Sus scrofa: one gene and its partner. The protein of the gene in region 1 purifies or fractionates together with the protein of each later gene. This does not show direct contact. Links are inferred from orthologs where the notes say so. Each region holds a gene or a part of one and is shown in the gene's direction. Other genes may lie near its edges. The genes, in order: BLK and HSP90AB1.

Region 1 (9,851 bases):
GGTCCAATCAGAGCTGTAACCGCTGGCCTACGCCACAGCCACAGCAACTCAGGATCCTTAACCCGTGGAGCAAGGCCAGGGATCGAACCCACAACCTCATGGTTCCTAGTCGGATTCACTTCTGCTGTGCCATGATGGGAACTCCTGTTAATTTTTTAAAATGAGCTTTTCTGTATTTGAATTGCAAAGTTGGTATTCTTCATGGTGTGTGGTCATTGATATCACTGTGCAGCTTTTACATTTAATATTTTACTTTGTTTTTAGTCTGGTTCCCTAAAAGCATCCCCTGTTTGTGCACTATTAATGGTCAGCCAATTACCTCGCAGGAGTTATGCTCAGAAACCTTGAACATAAACCTTCGCCTTCTGCTGCCTGAGCTGTGTGTGGTTGGAGGAGTAAATGCAAATCTACATTAAGTCCTCAGGTCTCCCTGGGCTTTCGATTTTTCTACACTCTGGTCTCCCTGACTCGTGTGTATTTTAGGAGTCAGTCAGGGACGCATGGGGTGTTTGTTATCTCAGCCCCTTCGTGGCTCTCTGACTTCCAGGGTTTCCCTCATTAACCTGCCTGGGTGACCTTTGACCCATTCTGAGCGGAGGTTACATTCTCAAGCCAGTAAAGCTGCAGATTTTCACTTGGGTCTTGAACTTGGGTCTCGATTCCATGACCTTTAACCCATAAACGGCAAGTTCTCATCACCCCATTCCAGACCAGATCTGTCACTTCCAGCTGGTGGCTGGTTTTCACAAACAGCCACCCAACAAGCCCATCATTCCCACAGGTGAAGCTGGGGTTCTTATCACCCGAGCTGAAGTGTGAGGCTGGGGGGCAGGTAGAACTTCTAAGTGAGAAGGCCACAGATTCTTGGCCATTCTGATACAGGAGCAGTTTTTCAAGATTAAACACGTCTCAATTTGTCATCTGCCTTTGGTCCTGCTCCAGTGCCTTCCAATGGTTGGTTTTGACAGCTTTATCTGGTTTTATACTTTTTTTTTTTTTTTTTTTTAGAGGGAAATCAACCAGCTTCTCACACCACCATTCCTAAGTCAGTCTTGGACTGGATTATTTTTAATGTTTCTTCTATTCAAATATTCTATTGCTCACAGTTTTGATTTTTTTTTTTTTTTCCAGAAATGTATTGATGTCAGAAGGCTGGTGAAGACGCACGGAAGGACAGCTCCGGGTTTTGCATAAGGCACCTCAAATGTGCAAAAATAAATGGGGGAGCCAGTGAAGCTGAACGCTGAGCTGGGGATTTCAGAGCCCTCACTGAGGTTCTCTAACACCAGTTTCTGCAAAGGACACCCCTGTCCTCACCTAACATGTCCTGCGGCTTCCCATCTTCTCCCCCTGGGTCCTTCCCAACCTCCCCCAGCCTATCTCCCTTTCTCATGGATTCTCTGACTCTGCCAGGGTGAAAATGGCTGCAAGGAACTTTCACTTCTGCTCAAACAAGAAACCCAAGAGCAAGGTCATTTCCTTGTTCTTTTCTGAGTGGCTGCTGGATCCATTTTTTTTTGACTTGTCTGTTGGGGGTGGACAGAAAGGTAAAGTTTCTTTTTCCTCAGATCATATGAAAGCCAGTTTACCTGAACTGCCTTCTCTGCAACCTTCTCACATCCCCTTTCACTCTAACTTTGAATATATGAGTCAGAGTCTAAGGGGAATGGATTTTTTCTGTAGAAAGGTGGAGTCCCTGCTTCCCACTGTCTTCTCTGTATCCTCAGATTCAAATGTATAAGGGCTGTTCAAAACCCACTAATTTAAGCCCCAAAGATTTACACACACACACACACACACACACACCAGGAAGTTCCTCTTGTGGCTCAGTGGTCACAAACCTGACTGTATCCATGAGAACACAGGTCAATCCCTGGCCTCACTCGGTAGGTTAAGAATCTGGCATTGCTGTGGCTGTAGCATAGGCTGGCAGCTGCAGCTCTGATTCGACCCCTAGCCTGGGACCCCTATGCCACTGGTGCAGACCTTAAAAGAAAGAAAGAAAACAAACAAAAATACATTAGGTGTAATTCAGTCCGTGTCACTGGACCCTTGGTCAGTAAAAGGGGATCTCAGCACAGGTATCTGCCTCTGAGAGTCTGAAGGATCCTTAGTGACAAGCTGTGTTCAAAGCAGTTTCCTTGGTAACGTCCCCTAATAACCCCTGATAGAGATATTGTTTCTGCCCCTGTTCCAATACTGTGCCTCATAAAGGCATCTATGGCTGCGCTTACCACACCCCATGATAGTCTTCTCTCTACCAGACCCCTTCCCAGCCTCTTTAGTCTGAGCCCCTCCAAGGACAGGCTTGCCTATTTAGAGCTGAGAGCTGTGCCCCTAGCCTCTAATGTGTGCTTACCCACAAAGCAACAATCACAAAAGTTTATTGTGTTAATTGAATTGAAATAACAAAACCGAATAATCTCCCCTCAAATCAGTAGCTTTTAAATCATAAGTTTCAGGAGTTTGGGAGTGTTTGAACTTGTATTTAAATGCTTAGGTCCAATGTAAGTCAGGTGTCAGGAAGTGAATTCAAAAATAATTAATAACACCTACGATTCACTGAGCACAGCCATGTCTGAGCACTGTTCTGAGCCCCTTGCTCTCAAGGATGTAACAAGACAAAGCAGGTTTTTTTGAAGATCAGATTTGGGACTTAGATGACATGCTCATGTCAGCAACCGGTTATTCAGAGTTTACTATGCTAAAGATTGTAATGGAAACTTTTTATACATCAACTCACTTATTCTCACAAAAGCCTTTTGGGAGAAATGAAGCAGATTGTTTCTAAGGAAGCTTAGAACCCAAGAACTCTGTTGCTGCTGTGGTTGCTAGGAACACCTGGCAAAAAGCTCTTTCTTACTAGGAATTCACAGAGCTTTATTGTCTTAGTCCTAAGCTCCAAGGAGAGAAACTCCATGGGGAAGCAGAGATTCTGGACTGTGGTCCCAGGTCAGGAGTAGAGGCAGATACAGACCTGTCTGAATTCCCTCCCCACTCCCACCATCTGTGATGTAAAGGCAGGAGAGGAGACTCTTGGTCCCCTTTGGTCCATGGGTCAGAAAGAAGCAGGTGGCCAGTGACTCACTCTGTCCAGCTGGACCAGCAAGCCTCCAGAGGTCATCTCAGCAGGCTTCTTGGACCTGCTGGTCCCTCAGCCAGTGGGACTGAGATGTTAGGGCCCTTCCCCATCACCATCGTCATTCTCTGCACCTCTGCGTTGTCACAGCTGAGTAAAGTAACATAATTGATGAGGCTCTGAGCTCAGAACTGAGGACTGGCTAGAATGCTGTAAACAACGGGGAATTAGCCAGTTCTGTGCCATCACTCACCCATTCCATTGTCTGTGCCCTTTGTACCTCACGGGCTAAGGACCATCAGGCCTATTCAGAAGACAACACAAAACCCGCGAGCCTGGGAGAAGGGCTGCCCTGCTTACGTACGTGGCACAGGCAGCAGAGGCCAAGCTCTTCCTTGGCTGGCCGACAAACATCGCAAGGCAGAGCCCAACACCTTGCAGAGTTAGCTTGGAGGTTTACTAACTCTGCCAGGCTCACTGCAGGAAAAACACCATCCTTGTTGTTGAACCCAAACCCCAATAGAAGACGTTCTGGGGGCAGCGGGGCATTGTGACGGACGTGGCCCATCCAGAGGAAGACCAGCTGCTCATGGTCCTTCTTCATAGGCTTTTCCTGGACCCAGTAAGCCCACGGAAGCTTTCAAAGGGCTTGGCGGGAGGGGCGGGGCTCCTTGGGGGCAGCTGTGACCACAGACCGGGGAGCCTGCCACCTCAGCTGGGTGCTTGCCGACGGCAGGAAGCCACGAGCCGCTGTACTAATCAAGGCGCCCGGGATGGGCTCGGCCTTCAGGATTGCTTCGGGAATCGCTGGCTGTAGCTGGAAGGTCACTGCACCGCAGGGCAGGGGGATCTGAAGAGCTATGGTGAGAGGCCACTGAATACTGCCAAGGTAAGTCGCGTCTGCCGCCCTCCTGCTGTCTCCTTTCCTCAGATGATGCAAACAGTGCCTGGAGCCTGTAGGTGGGACATCGGGCAGGAACATCGCTATGGGTGGTACCCTACAGAGAAGATGTTCCCATGAGCCCGTGTATAGATGGCTCTATTGTTTGTTCATTTCTATTTTAGAGAGTTTTTTTGATTTATAAAAGCTCATCCATCTAGGGTGAGGCTTTCTAAGCTAGTAAAGGCAGTGAAGGCGCTGCAGAGGAAAGACAGGAGGAGGCTGCGGGTGGGAGATGGGTGGGCACCTGGGGGTTCGGGACAAGTCACTTAGCCTCCCTCTAAGGCATGATATAGGATGCCACAGTGCAGAGCTGCTGGAGGCCGGCAGAGATGCATGGCAGTGTCTGGCTCAAGGTCAATGATGACTCGCTGCTTTTCTTTCATTTTTTTTTTTTTTAGTAAGATTTTCCATTTTTCAGACATGGGTGGGGTGGGGTGATGGAATAGGTTTAGCCGTGGCCTTTTTGGCTAAGAGATCTATGTAGCCAACTGTGAAAAGGCAAGAAGAGTTGATAACATATTTTAAGAGGATTTTTAAAGTTCTAGGGTTTTGACAACTTTTCCAGTTGTTTTCTAACTGGCCACTGTGTTCACCCTCAACTGCCCACACTACCAAGGACCAAAAGACTTGTTATCACTGCACTTCCGTAGTTATAGAGAAGAATCCCAAGTGATAGATGCAGGGAGCTGGAATCCCCTCAGCCTGAAAAGGATGGGTCTTAGTAGAGAGAATGGAGAGGGCAATGGTAATGCTGAGGTGGAGGATCCTGGCCACAGCGCCCCAACCACATGGTCAAGGTCAGCACCTCCACAGATCAGTCATGATGTCTTTATTGTGTGACTTTGGCTGCACAGAGCAAAGTACTTCACCTCTGTACTATTCATTCCCCAAACCCAAAATCCCAGTCAAGTCAAGAGAAAACATCAGAAAAACCCAAACTGAGGGACAGTCTACAGACTATTTGACCCTCAAAATCACCAAGGTTGTGACAAGCCAGGAAAGATGGGGAAACTGTCCAATATCAGAGGGGTATAAATAGGAAATTCACATCCAGGTTGATTGGAATCCTGGAGCAACAACAAAGTCATCAGTGGACAATAGGTGAGCTCTAGATAAAGTCTGGACATTAATGACAATCGTTGTACTGATGCGACTTTCTTAGTTTTGGCAAATGTGCCACCGTCAAGTAAGATGCCAGCATTGGGGGAAGCTGGGTGAAGGATGTGCAAGCAGTCTCTATCTTATCTTTGTAATTTTTCTGTAAGCCTAAAATTATTCCAAAGTAAAAAGCTAAAAAACAAACAAACTATGCTCATCCTGCCTTGCATCAAAAATGGTCAAAGCCTGAGCATACTTAGAAAAACTGGCATCCTGGGCCCCACTTTCTCTTTGAACATTCTGGAACACAGCAGTTCTGGCTTTTTTTTTTTTTTTTTTTTTTTTACCATTCTCTCTCCCAGCCCTCACCTTATTCCCAGAAAGCTCTATGCTTTCCTCTCTTCTGTTACTTCTGAAATTTATTTTTCTCACTCTGTGTCAGGGGGTTTAGGGCCAAGGACCCCATCTCGGTCTCCGGGCGGGGCTCACTGCGTGGGACCAGGCTCTTGTGCCTCAAGCTAGCGCTGAGCCCGACCCCTCCCCAGTGAGGAAGCGAGCGCTGAGCGTGGAGGCCGGTCAGTGTCCAGCCCCTGCGTGACATATCCAGATGGAATCTGCAGTGCTCTGGGCTCAGCCATCCGCAGAATGTGTGCTGTGCTGTGAGCTGTGCTAGAAAACTCCCTCGTGAGCGATGCTGTGGCTTAAGGGATATAGAGTAGGACGGGAACCCTGAGAGCCAGCTCCTGCTTGGGTGACAACCTGGCCTCTGAGCACCAACCCCCCTCCCACTCCCTCACCGGCCTGCCTAGAACCTGCAGTAGCAAGATGCAACCACCAGGGGCAGCATCCTTCCTTGTAAGGATGTTTGGGGAGATACTGGAAGACAGAGAAGCCCGACCCCCGCCCATAAGAGACACAGACACACACACACACACACACACACACACACACACACACACACACGAGCGCGCGCGCGCGCGCGCCCGGCAGAGCAGGTGTGCTCTTGTTCAAAGGCGATGTCTCAGCGAGATTAGAGAAACGCTTCCGAAGCAAGCAAGAAAGAAGAAAGAATTATGAAGCTGTGGGGAGATAGTGTTTAGATGAAAATCATAACACTTAGATGAAGATCAAAACTGAAAAGTGTTGATTACCACTGGGCCTAAAGTCCCTTTCCTGTCGCATCTCCTGCTCCCCCACTTCTTCGGGAACGCACCTGCTGTGCACCTGCTTGTCCCTCTGCCTGGGCTCCCTCCCCCTTCTCTCACCCAGGCAAGTCCCACTGGCCTGATTCTTGGGATCCGTGCCAACATCTTCTCCTCTGTCAGCAGTGCCCAAACCCCTCCCTGTGTCTACATGGCCTCCAGGATAGGCTTAGGGCTATTTGCTTGCGGTTCTGCTGCCCCTCTGGACCTGAGCTTCTCCAGGATAGGGATAAGCCCCTCCCTCCGTCCAACTCTCGGTCCCAGCACCCAGAACACTGCCTGCCACAGGGTGGGCACCCTGTGAAATGGTTCTTGAATGAAAGAAATAAGGACACACTTGTGAACACAAATGAAGGTCAAGACACGAGGAGGAAAGCTTGAAGGAGAAAAAGCGTGTGAGATTTCCCATTACCTTTGCCATACTGAGCTCCAAGGCCATTGCCACACTGGAGTTTTAATGGAGGGCGGCGGTGGGGGGGGGGGGTCCTGCAGAAAGAGATGGGGTGAACTAGGTTTCTGGCATGTTATGCTCCTGCCAGAGGAGGGCGCTGGGCTTCAGGGCCAGCCAGTTCCACACCTAGACCTGGCTCTGCCACTTGCCGTCTGAGGAGCTGGGGGAGTGTGAGCAAATGGTCCAGCTCTCTGTGAAGTGGGAACAGTTGCACCCAGCTCCAGGCACAGAGTGAGAGCTACACTGAGCAAGGTGATTGGAGTACAGAGGCTCTATCCCCATCCCTGCTGTCCCTGAGAGGCCTGGACTCCCCATCGGCTGCTGTGTAGCTCACAGGTGCTCCCTCACCCAAGGGGTGATGCTTCCGAAACCATGGAGGTAGAAAGCGGTTCTCTGAGTGCTTGTCACCACCACTCTGCTGCCTCTTTGCACACCTTGTTACCTGGGTTGCTGCTCTGGGACCAGGGTGAGGCAGGTGAGGCTCTGGGGCTGCAGAATTTAAAGAGCTGCTCCCACTCAAGGTCACCTATGTGCAGGGGATGGCCGCGTGTGTTCACTTGTGTATACACAGGTACGAGGCGATAAGTGCTAAGTGGATTAAATCAGGTGTTCTGACTTTGAGGTCATAGACTCCTGATAAGTGTCATGGGGTCTATGACTCTCTGAACTTGTATGCAAGTTTTTGTGGACACGTGCGTTCTGCCATAAAGGGCGTTTATGGCTTTGGTCAGATTCCCCAAAGGATCTGCTCACCCCAAAATATTTGGAATCCCCAAGTTCAGTATTTAGGAAGGATACTTTGTCTCTCGCTGTGCTGTAGGTACGAGAAGTTGGAGGCACAGGAGAAAGACAAGTAGCCGTGCCTGAGAGGTGAGGTGCCTCAGCTTACAGAATGGAGGGCCTAAGTTCAAGGCCCTGTCCTGCCGCTTCTGGACTTTGGATTTCAGTCACTAATTTTCTTCCTGAAATAACAGTTGTTTGACCTCAGTCTATATTGGTGTCCTTACCTACCTCAGAAATGACATATACTCTCTAGGCTCATTTCTCTATTTGTTGATAATAGCACATCACAGTGTCATAAGAATTACGCCCCAAAGCCCTAATTCTTTGATGAGTTGAAACTGAAGAGGACACAGTATTTCCATCTAGGTTCTGATCAATTCTCCACGTAAGAGGAGTACTTGTAATGGGAAAAGGCACATTTCACACTGTAACATCTTAGATTTACTTATAGGCACAGTATTTATGTCTTGAAATCTCGAAAAGCGACAGTGCGATTTCGTTTCTCAAAAGAGGAAATGGGTTTGTAATAAGATCGAGAGACAAGAATCTAGGTATTTGAGATGCTCCCCAGGGTGTGAGAGCTGCATGTCTGGATCTCAGGGCTGGGGCGTTCAGGGAATAGCGCTGTGAATCAGACCTAGGCCCCCTTCTTGGAGAGGACGAGCTGTGCTCGGCGGATGCTCAAGGCTCCTGGAAGGAACAAGGAAGGACCTGGCGTCACTGCTGCGATGCTATTGAGACCCCACCCCCACCTCTGCCGCCCACCATAGGCCTCAGAACACCTAAAAGGAGCCACGGGAGAATTACTCTCAGACTTCAGACCTGGGAAACCCACTGAGCAACCGATACCAGCTCTTCCAATTGATCACTTCTCTCCCGTGACTTCAGACTCTAAGACACTTTGAGCCAAATTTGCATCTAGCCACGAACAGTTAAGTAGCCCCATCTCAGGGTCTGTATTTCTGTGTACCAGCCTTACTGCCAAATTTGCTTTCCTGCCCTAACCTATCCTTTGCTCTGATTTCTTCATCTATTTTTCTCTCATATTTATGTATTTATTTCATATTTATTTATTTATTTATTTTACATTTAAAAAATTAAAGTATGGTTGATTTACAATGTTGTGCTAATTTCTTCTGGACAGCAAAATGACCTATATATATATATATACACACACATTCCCTTTCTTGTATAATCTTCCATCATATCCCAAGAGATTGAATATAGTTTGCTGTGTTGTACTGCAGGACCTCATGGATTATCCATTCTAAATGTAATAGTTCACCTATTTATTTTTGTAAGTGGCCTCAAATCTTTTTGGAAATATCAGGAAATAAATAAACATGAAAACAAAAACAGGACAGGAGTTCCCGCTGTGGCTCAGTGGGTTAAGAACCTGATTAGTATCCATGAGGATGTGGGTTTGATCCTTGGCCTTGCTCAGTGGGTTAAGGATCTGGCATTGCTGCAAGCTGCAGTGTAGGTAGCAGATGTGACTCAGGTCCAGTGTTGCTGTGGCTATAGTGTAGGCTGGCAGCTGCAGCTCCAATTCGACCCTGGCCTGGGAACTTCCATATGCTGCAGGTGCAGCCCTAAAAGTAAAAATAAAAATGAAAAAACAGGACAGAGTTTTGGAAAGAACTTGATGCATGGTGAGGTTGAGCAAAAAGAATTATCTCCCCTTCTGTGTACAGAACATAGAACCATTCTTAATTTTTTTACCAAGAGGACCAATCTATGGTAAAATATTCAGCTGAGAGTCTATTACAGTGAGACAAAAAGCCTAATTGTTTATTTTTACAGTTATTCCACCTTATACTCTTCCAAAGATTACATAAAATTATTTTATATAAATATAAAATTTTTATATTTTATACTTGTAGAATTTGTATATGATTTATATAACTGTATTTACATAATTTATATAATTATATTAATTTATTTAACTTATATAATTTTATATAAATATAAAATTATTTCATGGTAAGATTCTTTTTATTCCTACCATTTCTAAAGTACAATGAGGCTTTAAAAAATAAATTCTTTTTTTTTTTTTTAAAGTGTTGCACTTCACTGGGAACTACATCTAGTCACTTATGATGGAGCATGATAATGTGAGAAAAAGGAATGTATATGTGTATGTGTGACTGGGTCACCTGGCTGTACAGTAAAAAATTGACAGAACACTGTAAACCAGCTATGATGGAAAAAAATAAAAATCATTAAATAAAAAAATAATTTTAAAAAAGTGTTGCAGTTGAAGAGAGGATCAAAAGTAATAAGTCATTCTGTGAT
Region 2 (10,193 bases), on another chromosome or scaffold:
TGGCCAGGCACAGTAGGTTAAAGGAGCCAGTGTTGCCATGGCTGTGGCATAGGTCACAGCTTGGATTCAGTCCCTGGCAAGGGAACTTCCATATGCTGAGGGTGTAGCCATGATGTGTGTGTGTGTGTGTGTGTGTGTGTGTGTGTAATGTCACAATTCCCCATCCCAATATGAAACTAGCCAAAGATAACATGTAAACAAATGAGCTGAGCATAGCTGTGTTTCAGTAAAACTTTGCAAACACAACTCAAAGTTCATATAATTTTCACCTGCCAAAAATATCTTTTGATTATTTTCAACCATTAAAGAGAGGAAAAAGTGGAGTTTCTGTTGTGGCTCAGCAGTAATGAACCCAACTAGTATCCATGAGGATGTAGGTTCCATCCCTGGCCTTGCTCAGTGGGTTAAGGATCTTGTGCTGCCTTGAGCTGCGGCATAAGTCACAGATGTGGCTTGTGTTTGGTGTTGCTGTGGCTGTGGTGTTGGCTGGCAGCTGCAGCTCCGATTCGACCCCTAGCCTAGGAACTTCCATACGCTGCAGGTTCAGCCCTAAAAAGCAAAAAAAAAAAAAAAAAAAAAAAAAAAAAAAGGAAAAAAGGAAAAAGCATTCTACTTTTTTTTTTTTTTTTTTTTTTTTGTCTTTTTGCCATTTCTTGGGCCGCTCCCAGGGCATATGGAGGTTCCCAGGCTAGGGGTCGAATCGGAGCTGTAGCCACAGGCCTACGCCAGAGCCACAGCAACGCAGGATCCGAGCCGCGTCTGCAACCTACACCACAGCTCACGGCAACGCCAGATCGTTAACCCACTGAGCAAGGGCACGGATCGAACCCGCAACCTCATGGTTCTTAGTCGGATTCGTTAACCACTGCGCCACGACGGGAACTCCGGAAAAAGCATTCTTATCCATTAGCCACATGAAAACAAATGCCCCCAGCTGCAGACTACAGTTTGTGAGTGCTGCTTCTTCTGGCCACTCTCCAACAGCAGGTTGGGCTGGGTCTTTGAAGCTTGGTTGGGAAAAGGGTATCTTAGGAACATAAAGGATTGCAAGTGATGCTGGGAATAGGCCTCTGGAGATCCAGGGGGTTTAAGCCATCTTTAATAGCCCTCAGTGGCTTCCCTCATCCTAAGTTAAAGTCAGAACTGCTTAGCATGGCATTGTGGCCCTCTGTGACCTGACCTGGGAATGTGGGGCCACTTTCAGTCCCTGCCTCCCTGAGGTTCCTCTCTCAGTGCTGTGCCTTTCCATGCTTTTCCTCTGCTGGGAGTAGACCTGTGCCCCCGGGCCTGGCTAGCCCCGAGCCCGCCCTCTTCCCCAGGCCGTGCTGGGAAACTGATGCGTCTCCCAGGCTTCACACTTGGTCTGCTGCAGCTCCCCCCAGTGGGCTGAGGGTGCCTTGTCCTGTTTATGCATCTCTGCTTCCCCAGGCAAAGCTCACAGTGGGGGCTGAGTGAGTGTCAAAGAGCTGGAGAAACCATCCTGGAAGACTCCCAGAAGAGAAGGTAGGATTTCTGTGCTGGTGTAAGAGATTTGAGATTTTTCCCATTAGAACCCCCCCTGAGGAGTTCTGGTCCTGACAGGAGTGATTCTTGCTCCACCCTGGGCTTGGGTCCTGGGAGGGGAACCCGTCCCCACACCGTTTCTGGAGCAGGGAGCAAGGGCGTTAGGGGAGCATAGGCTCCGAGGTGACCCACCCTGCGGTACTCCCTGAAGCCTTCCTCTCCCGGTTCCTAGAACGCACAGACTCACTTTTACCCCTTCAGGCGGCAGGGGACAGTGAGCTGTGAATGCTCTATGTGAACCAGAGAGCAGGTGTTTGATTAGCTAGGCCCCTTCTGCCCAGAGGGAGGGAGGGTGTGTTGGGGGACGATGCTCCCCGTTTCCATCTTGGAACAGAGCATCCTGGGGCGTTCCTAGCAGCAGCACTCAGGCCCCTTCCCACATTCCTTGAGTTCTCCCAGCCACCGGCTTCTTCTAGACCAGAAGAGCAGTGGAAGAGTAAGGAGAGATGAAATCATGAAATCGGGGTAGGGGTGGCACGGGTGATGAAGTCAGGAGTGTGGGGCAAGGAAAAGGAACGCGAGGGTCCTTTGTTCTTTGGAGTTCAACAGCTGGACAAAGAAGTGCTACAAGACTGCACACCAGGGCTGCCGAGGGAGGTCTGCGGGTCGGAGGTATCCCTCTCCCAAGCATTCCAGGGGCGGACAAAGTGGGCCACGAAGGGAGTTGAGGGAGTTGCTGGGCATCCACAAGGTCACGGCGCAGGGAGCGGTCATTCTCTCCCGGAGGGGCTGTGGGGCGGGTGAGCTCCAGAGATGAGGCCTTGGAAAGGCGAGGACAGCGTACCCGCCCCGAAGGCAAGCAAAAGCGGCAGGGCCAGGCGAGGCAGCTGGGCCGGCGCTTGGCTTGGGGGCTCCGGCGCCGCAGCAGCTGAAGGGGAACAACCTGGTTCTGCCCGCCAGGAGCGAGCAGCCCTTTGGCCAGCATGAAGGCGCTGGTGTCTTCATGCCACCTCCTAGAACCCCCGCCACCCAGCGGGGGTCCCTGGAGATCCTCCCCTCCCCAGACCTAGACAGTTGCAGGAGGGGAAAGAATTTTTGTAAAAAGAAAAGGAAACCAGATTGTATGTGCATGCCCCTGCGTGCGACACGCGTGGGCGGCTGCAGAGGCTGGGGAGGGTTTCTCAGGTAGCGACGCCACCCTCAGTCTCGGCTCCGAAGGCGGTTCTCGCAGAGCCGCCCCAATAACCCGTGTGCTGTGTGACTGACGGGGGAGAAAGGGGGGATCATCCCTGTTCCACCCCACCCTGGACGCAATGCTGAGCGAGCTGGGTCTGGCGGGTGGCGAAGAGGGTGCCGGGTGTAGTTGCCCGCCAGCAACATAGGATCGAAGTTGCCCACCTCTCCCGGAGATTCAAGCATAACGTTGGAGAGGCGGAGCCGCCGCAGAGGCACAGCCCAGTCCGCAGAAAAAGGGGTGGAGCCCCAAGGGAAGAGGGCGGGGCGGGGCGGGACAGGACCGTAGAGGCGGATCTGGAAACTGCTGGAAGATCGCAGCACCGCCACTGTCGCTCCTTCCGCCGCTTGCAGACAAAGAGTGCCCTCCACACCCGAGCCGGCGACCTTCTAGCAGCGGAAGCCACGCCCCGCAGCGAGACGCTGGCACTGCCCATTGTCCCCTGGGAGTGCCAGGGTTCGCGGGCTGCCCAAAGTTCGGCTTCAAATTCCCCAGTGTCCCCGGAAAGGACCCTTTCCCCTTATTGGGCAGTAGGAATGTGTAAGGAAGATTGTAGCAGGGAGGGAGCATAGGTGGGAGTAGTTGGTCCCCTTTCAGGTGTTCCTCTGGGATTCTTTGGTGTGGAGGCACCTGCTCTACAGGTTTTTACTGAGGTCAGCGGGGATTCTGTTCCCTAGAGCCACGGCATTTGTCCTATGAGTATACCCAACATCTAGCTCTGGTGGTGTCCTGTCTTCAGGACGCGGAGATGGGACTAAGAAAAAGTCTACACATGCGCGCCCTTGCTCTTCACCGCCCCCTCCCCTATTTTGGACCATGACGTAAAGGTGGGCGGGCAGCGGCAGGTGCGGGGCTGACAGACAGCCTCCTTTAAGGCGGAGGGATCTGGGGGCGGGCAGCGAAGGTGTGCTTCGCCTTATATAAAGCGACTGGGGTCTCACAGCCGTTCTCTTGAGTCACCCCCCGCGCAGCCTTGTTCTGGCGTGAGAGCCGGAGGCAGTCCTTCCCCGCTCAGCTTTGTGGTGTTTGTGATCCTTATCCTTTAAGGTAAGGTTGCACTCTTAAGGCATTTCTGGTTAAATTTCAGGTTGCTTTCGTCCATTCTGTCCTTTCTGAGACCCAAGTTTTTGTCGTGCTGGGGCGGTTTGCTGGACAACGCTCCCAATTTTTTTAGAGGGTGGGTGGAAGGGAGCTCTCGAGTTTAGCTTTTCCTTCCATGCTTGGTGTCGGGCCTTCTAGGCGGCTGTTAGGCCTGGGCGAGTGGGGCTGGGGGACTGGGCGGCTACACGTGGTAGCCGCGCCGGCCCGGGACGCTGCCATGTTTGCCCCTCTACTTCCGGACGCGACTACGGGGCGCCAGAGGGTGGGCAAGGTTGGTGGGTGTGCGGGCCCGGTGTGACTCAGCACAGCATGGTTCTGGGTAGGTTTTGCCATCTCTTTTATAGAAGGGAGTTTTTCTAGTCCTTAGTGTGAGGGTTTGCGGCAAAGGATGCTTTGGAGCTCCAGTGGCCCATCGTGCTTCCTGCTTCGAGCTCATTCCTGCAGTCAGGGTGGAGGGGTAGCGGAGGAGGCAGGCTTGAGAATTTATGGGAGCATTTCTTCGTCGTCCTCTTTTCTCCCCGTTGGCTGGAATTGTTCTGGAAGGTTCTGGAACTCGGCGCCCCGCCCTGGTGCCCGGATGCTGAGGCGAAGGGAGGCTGCGCGGTGGCGCCCCCTCCTCGCGTGGTCCTGGCCGACGCATGTCCGGCATCGACGAGCGTCGGCCCCGCGGACTACGCCACCATCTTAGTTGTATTTGGTTTGGTCCTGTACCTCAGTCACGTGTGCTACAGGGACAGAGTGGAGCCTTTTGCTTTATCGGTTCTTTGTCTTAATGGCATCCCAAGTGGGTATCCCACGATTCTCTCGCGTTAGCCTCCCTTACCACGTGAGGTAGCAATTTCACATCTTCCTGGAGGTGAAGGGAGAGCAGTTTCAAATGATAGCCCCTTTAAGGTAAAACTGGTCTGTTTGGGGGGGGGGCTCCCTCCCCTCCACCAGAAATGGTAGAACCGTAGTTACTAATTTGTACATTTGAATATGTATGTAGGTCTTCTGCTTATTCACATTTAAGAAACCGGGGTTGGGCGAGGTACTCTGCATGCCTAAGAGATTACCAGGTGATGAGAGGCTGCTGATCCGTGGATGGATCGCCTAACATCCTAACAAAATGCTTAAGAGACCTTAAGGCATTTTGGGGGCTGTATTAGCAGCCCCCCCCCCCCCCGCCCCTCTTATTCTCAGACTGAGGGCGCAGCCTGAAGTCTTTAAAGGAAAGGTCTTGCATCTCAGTACTCGGTTCAGAACAACTTGAACTGAACCTCTTAGTGTCTTTATTGTAATTGGGGTGAACTTGAGTCCAAAGTTCTTCATCTCTCTTATTTTAGATGCCTGAGGAAGTGCACCATGGCGAGGAGGAAGTGGAGACTTTTGCCTTCCAGGCAGAAATCGCCCAGCTCATGTCTCTCATCATCAATACCTTTTATTCCAACAAGGAGATTTTTCTTCGGGAGTTGATCAGTAATGCTTCTGATGTGAGTTCCCTGAGCGTCTTCATTGGCATTTGTTTGTTTCTCGAGTACTTCAAAGAAGGAGAGGGGTGATTGGGCATTTTGTGGGTTTTATTTTTGAAGGGAATATAAACTTCAATTCTAAAAAGGTTTTGCCTTGCTTTATGTGGATAGATGGCGTACTCTAACTGGATGTACGTCTCAAGCTTCAAATGAAAGGGGTTATCAGAAATGAGGTTATCTGGGAGTAGGAAAAAACTTTTTCTATTGGATGAGGTGGAAGCAGAATTGTAAAACTGCAATTTGTATTTTCAGGCCTTGGACAAGATTCGCTATGAGAGCCTGACAGACCCTTCCAAATTGGACAGTGGTAAAGAGCTGAAAATTGACATCATCCCCAACCCCCAGGAGCGCACCCTGACTCTGGTAGACACAGGCATTGGCATGACCAAAGCTGATCTCATAAATAATTTGGGAACCATTGCCAAGTCTGGTACTAAAGCATTTATGGAGGCTCTTCAGGTATGTGGTATTTCAGCTAGGCATGCACCATTCATATTCATTGATGTTTAGTTTGCTGTTTCTTCAAAACTTGTGTTTGACTTTTTAAAACTTTTTGGTAGGCTGGTGCAGACATCTCCATGATTGGACAGTTTGGTGTTGGCTTCTATTCTGCCTACCTGGTGGCAGAGAAAGTGGTTGTGATCACAAAGCACAATGATGATGAACAGTATGCCTGGGAGTCTTCTGCTGGGGGCTCCTTCACAGTTCGTGCTGACCATGGTAGGCTGATTTTCCTGTTGGGTGTCGGGGATAGAATTCTGAGGGAACAGTGGTAAAGATCTTGAGCATTCTAATGGTGAGACATTGGTCTTTGTTGTTCAGCACTTAGTTTTCTTTTTCACTCCGTTTTGATTGACTTTCTAGGTGAGCCCATTGGCCGAGGTACCAAGGTCATTCTGCATCTTAAGGAGGACCAGACAGAATACTTAGAAGAGAGACGGGTGAAAGAGGTGGTAAAGAAGCACTCACAGTTCATAGGTTATCCCATCACACTTTATGTGAGTATGAACTGGTAACTCAATTGTCTGCTGCAGGAGACACTTGGTTTTTTATTTTCTGTAGTCTGAAATTTTCATCTTTGATACTTGCAGCTGGAGAAGGAACGTGAGAAAGAAATCAGTGATGATGAGGCAGAGGAAGAGAAAGGTGATAAAGAGGAGGAAGATAAAGATGATGAGGAGAAGCCCAAGATTGAAGATGTGGGCTCAGATGAGGAGGATGATAGTGGCAAAGATAAGAAAAAGAAGACAAAAAAGATCAAGGAGAAGTATATTGATCAGGAAGAACTGAACAAGACCAAGCCCATCTGGACCAGGAACCCTGATGACATCACCCAGGAGGAATATGGAGAGTTCTACAAAAGCCTGACCAATGACTGGGAAGATCACCTGGCAGTCAAGGTAAGAAGCCTTGTTTGTTGGCGCAATAGGAAGAGTTGGTAATGGGCAAGTGGCACTTGCCCAACTGATTGGGAACTGGGAATGCCATGAGTTCACCTACTGATGGACCCTTCCAGGGCAGGGGAATGACATCTCCAGGGACTTCACTGTGTCTCTGGCAGCTTTGCCCATCTAGCATTCTGAATTGGCTATTTCCTCGTTAACACAAGGATTATGTACAGGTTGCACTATGTTGGATTCATTTAGGGCATTATTAGGGCTTCTCAACAGCTACCATAGAGTCTAGTCTATTCCTGGTGCTTAAGGGGGAAGGTCTTTTTTTCCAAATAGTTTTTTTTTTTTTTAAATAACTTAATTTTTTTGTTTTTTAAGGGCCGCACCCACGGCATATGGAGGTTCCCAGCCTAGGAGTCTAATCAGAGCTACAGCTGCCAGCCTACACCACAGCAACCCTAGATCCAAGCCACATCTGTGACCTATACCACAGCTCATGGCAACCCTCGGTCCTCGACCCACTGAGCAAGGCCAGGGATTGAACATGCGACCTTAGGGTTTCCTCATCAAATTCATTTCCGCTGCGCCACGACGGGAACTCCCCAAATAGTTTAATTTGGTGTTGGGACAAAAGCCACTCTTAAAATACACAGTTGGCTTATCTTGGATTTCTCTCACAGCACTTCTCTGTAGAAGGTCAGTTGGAATTCAGAGCATTGCTGTTCATCCCCCGTCGGGCTCCTTTTGACCTCTTTGAGAACAAAAAGAAAAAGAACAACATCAAACTTTACGTTCGCCGTGTGTTCATCATGGACAGCTGCGATGAGCTGATACCAGAGTACCTCAGTGAGTACCTTCTCTGCCTAATGTAGTTGGTCTCAGCTTTCTCAAAGGAACTGAAGCCTTGATTTTTTTTTTTTTTTTTTTTTTTTTTTTTCTTCTGGGCCACACCTGCAGGATATGGAGAGGTTCCCAGGCTAGGGGTCAAATCAGAGCTATAACTGCTAGCCCACACCACAGCCATAGTAACGCAGGGTCCGAGCTGAGTCTGCGACCTACACCACAGCTTACAGTAACGCCAGATCCTTAACCAACTGAGCGAGGCCAGCGATTGAACCTGCAACCTCATGGTTCCTAGTCAGATTCATTTCCACTGCGCCATGATGGGGAACTCTGATGAAGCCTTTGTTCTGAAGCTAAGGGTCCTCTGCCGTGTAACTGGTGCAGCTGGATGGCGGTGTATACTTTTTTGTTTTTGTAGGGGGGGTGTCTAACTGAGCATCCATGTTTGATTTCAGACTTCATCCGCGGTGTGGTTGACTCTGAAGACCTTCCCCTGAACATCTCCCGAGAAATGCTCCAGCAGAGCAAGATTTTGAAGGTCATTCGTAAAAACATTGTTAAGAAGTGCCTGGAGCTCTTCTCTGAGCTGGCAGAAGACAAGGAGAACTACAAGAAATTCTACGAGGCTTTCTCAAAAAATCTAAAGGTAAGCAGACAGCAAATGCTTGCTTTTTTAATGATGAAGATGGCTGTTTTTCATTCATGTAGGGGATAATTATTTTCTAGTAAGACTTTCCCTTTCCACCCTTAAAGCTTGGAATCCATGAGGACTCCACTAATCGGCGGCGCCTTTCTGAGCTGCTGCGCTACCATACCTCCCAGTCTGGCGATGAGATGACTTCTCTCTCAGAGTACGTCTCACGCATGAAGGAGACCCAGAAGTCCATCTACTATATCACTGGTGAGTGGAACGTAGGGCCTGACCACAAAGCCTCTCAGGTGTTAGGAGAAGGGGAGGACACAGGGATACCTGGGAGCTGGCTGGCTGGGGCATTCTGATCCTTGAGTCACATTTAATAATCCTATAGGTGAGAGCAAGGAGCAGGTTGCCAACTCTGCGTTTGTGGAGCGTGTGCGGAAGCGGGGTTTCGAGGTGGTGTACATGACAGAGCCCATCGACGAGTACTGTGTGCAACAGCTCAAGGAGTTTGATGGGAAGAGCCTGGTCTCAGTTACCAAGGAGGGCCTGGAGCTGCCTGAGGATGAGGAGGAGAAGAAAAAGATGGAGGAGAGCAAGGCCAAGTTTGAGAACCTCTGCAAACTCATGAAAGAGATCTTGGATAAGAAAGTAGAGAAGGTAAGCAGTGAACGGAGTAGTAAGTGCTTTCAGGGCTTTGCCCTCAGTTTCTGGTTGCTACACGATTAGTGGTTTGGCGCAGCCTTATTTGTTTAGAGCCATCCTATTTTATTCTCTTAACTGGGCAGATTTTTTTTTTCCCTCTCTTCAGGCCCCGCCCACAGCATACAAAAGTTCCCAGGCTAGGGGTCAAATAAGAGCTACAGCTGCTGGCCTATGCCACAGCAACTTTGGATCCAAGCCATGTCTGCGACCTACACCGCAGCTCACAGCAACACCAGATCCTTTCACCCACTGAGCAAGGCCAGGGTTTGAACCCAAATCCTCATGGACACCAGTCGAGTTTGTTCCCGCTGGTCCACAATGGGAACTTTTATTTTTGTTTTTTGTGTTCTTTTACTGGGAAAGTTTGTCATTGCTCTAAGACTTGGCAAAGATGAGGCTTTATTTTCCCAAGGATAGAACTTCAAAATACCGTTTTTTGCCTTGAGGTAGTTTTGATTTAAGGTAAACCAAAGATTTTTGTGGTTGTCCACAGGTGACCATCTCCAACAGGCTTGTGTCTTCACCCTGTTGCATTGTGACCAGCACCTATGGCTGGACAGCCAACATGGAGCGCATCATGAAAGCTCAGGCACTTCGGGACAACTCGACCATGGGCTACATGATGGCCAAAAAGCACCTGGAGATCAACCCTGACCACCCCATTGTGGAGACGCTGCGACAGAAGGCAGAGGCGGACAAGAATGACAAGGCTGTCAAGGACCTAGTGGTGCTGCTGTTTGAAACGGCACTGCTGTCTTCTGGCTTCTCGCTGGAAGATCCCCAGACCCATTCCAACCGCATCTACCGCATGATCAAGCTTGGCCTGGGTAAGTACCCTTGCGCAGTAGGTGTGGCGAGGAGTTGGAGAATTAGCCTGGTGGACACAGATTTGATGCTTTTGGGGCCAGATCTCAAGTGGCATTCTTTCTTCCCTCTTTCTAGGCATTGATGAGGACGAAGTGACAGCAGAGGAGCCCAGTGCTGCTGTTCCTGATGAGATCCCCCCGCTCGAGGGTGATGAGGATGCATCTCGCATGGAAGAAGTAGATTAGGAGTTGCTACCTGCAAACTTTGTTCCCTCTGTATAGTGTCCCCATTGGCTCCCCTGGCAGCAGCCCCCAGTGGCCCTAGCCCACCTGGTCTCCTCTGCTGATGTCTAGTGGTTTTATTTGTTTTTCTGTCTAAGGCAGGCTACAGGGGCCGCAAGCCCTAATAACCCTTCCCACATTTGACACTGGGTTTGGGTGTCGTGTACTGTGCTCGTT

Evidence for each region.
Region 2: the proteins of BLK (region 1) and HSP90AB1 purify together in Homo sapiens (affinity purification with mass spectrometry; 3 studies listed by BioGRID and IntAct, with this or other methods). This does not show direct contact. The link is inferred for Sus scrofa from reciprocal best matches to the Homo sapiens genes BLK and HSP90AB1.

Annotation. Positions count from the first base shown.
Region 1 is NC_010456.5:14,685,156-14,695,006, forward strand, and holds the start of BLK (tyrosine-protein kinase Blk), read left to right. Parts: upstream 1-3,333; 5' UTR 3,334-3,968; intron 3,969-9,851. UniProt on the Homo sapiens protein: Non-receptor tyrosine kinase involved in B-lymphocyte development, differentiation and signaling. B-cell receptor (BCR) signaling requires a tight regulation of several protein tyrosine kinases and phosphatases, and associated coreceptors.
Region 2 is NC_010449.5:39,240,232-39,250,424, forward strand, and holds the start of HSP90AB1 (heat shock protein HSP 90-beta), read left to right. Parts: upstream 1-3,542; 5' UTR 3,543-3,784; intron 3,785-5,163; coding exon 5,164-5,310; intron 5,311-5,601; coding exon 5,602-5,808; intron 5,809-5,909; coding exon 5,910-6,069; intron 6,070-6,213; coding exon 6,214-6,347; intron 6,348-6,440; coding exon 6,441-6,749; intron 6,750-7,423; coding exon 7,424-7,589; intron 7,590-8,041; coding exon 8,042-8,232; intron 8,233-8,339; coding exon 8,340-8,487; intron 8,488-8,614; coding exon 8,615-8,883; intron 8,884-9,421; coding exon 9,422-9,755; intron 9,756-9,870; coding exon 9,871-9,980; 3' UTR 9,981-10,193. UniProt on the Homo sapiens protein: Molecular chaperone that promotes the maturation, structural maintenance and proper regulation of specific target proteins involved for instance in cell cycle control and signal transduction. Undergoes a functional cycle linked to its ATPase activity.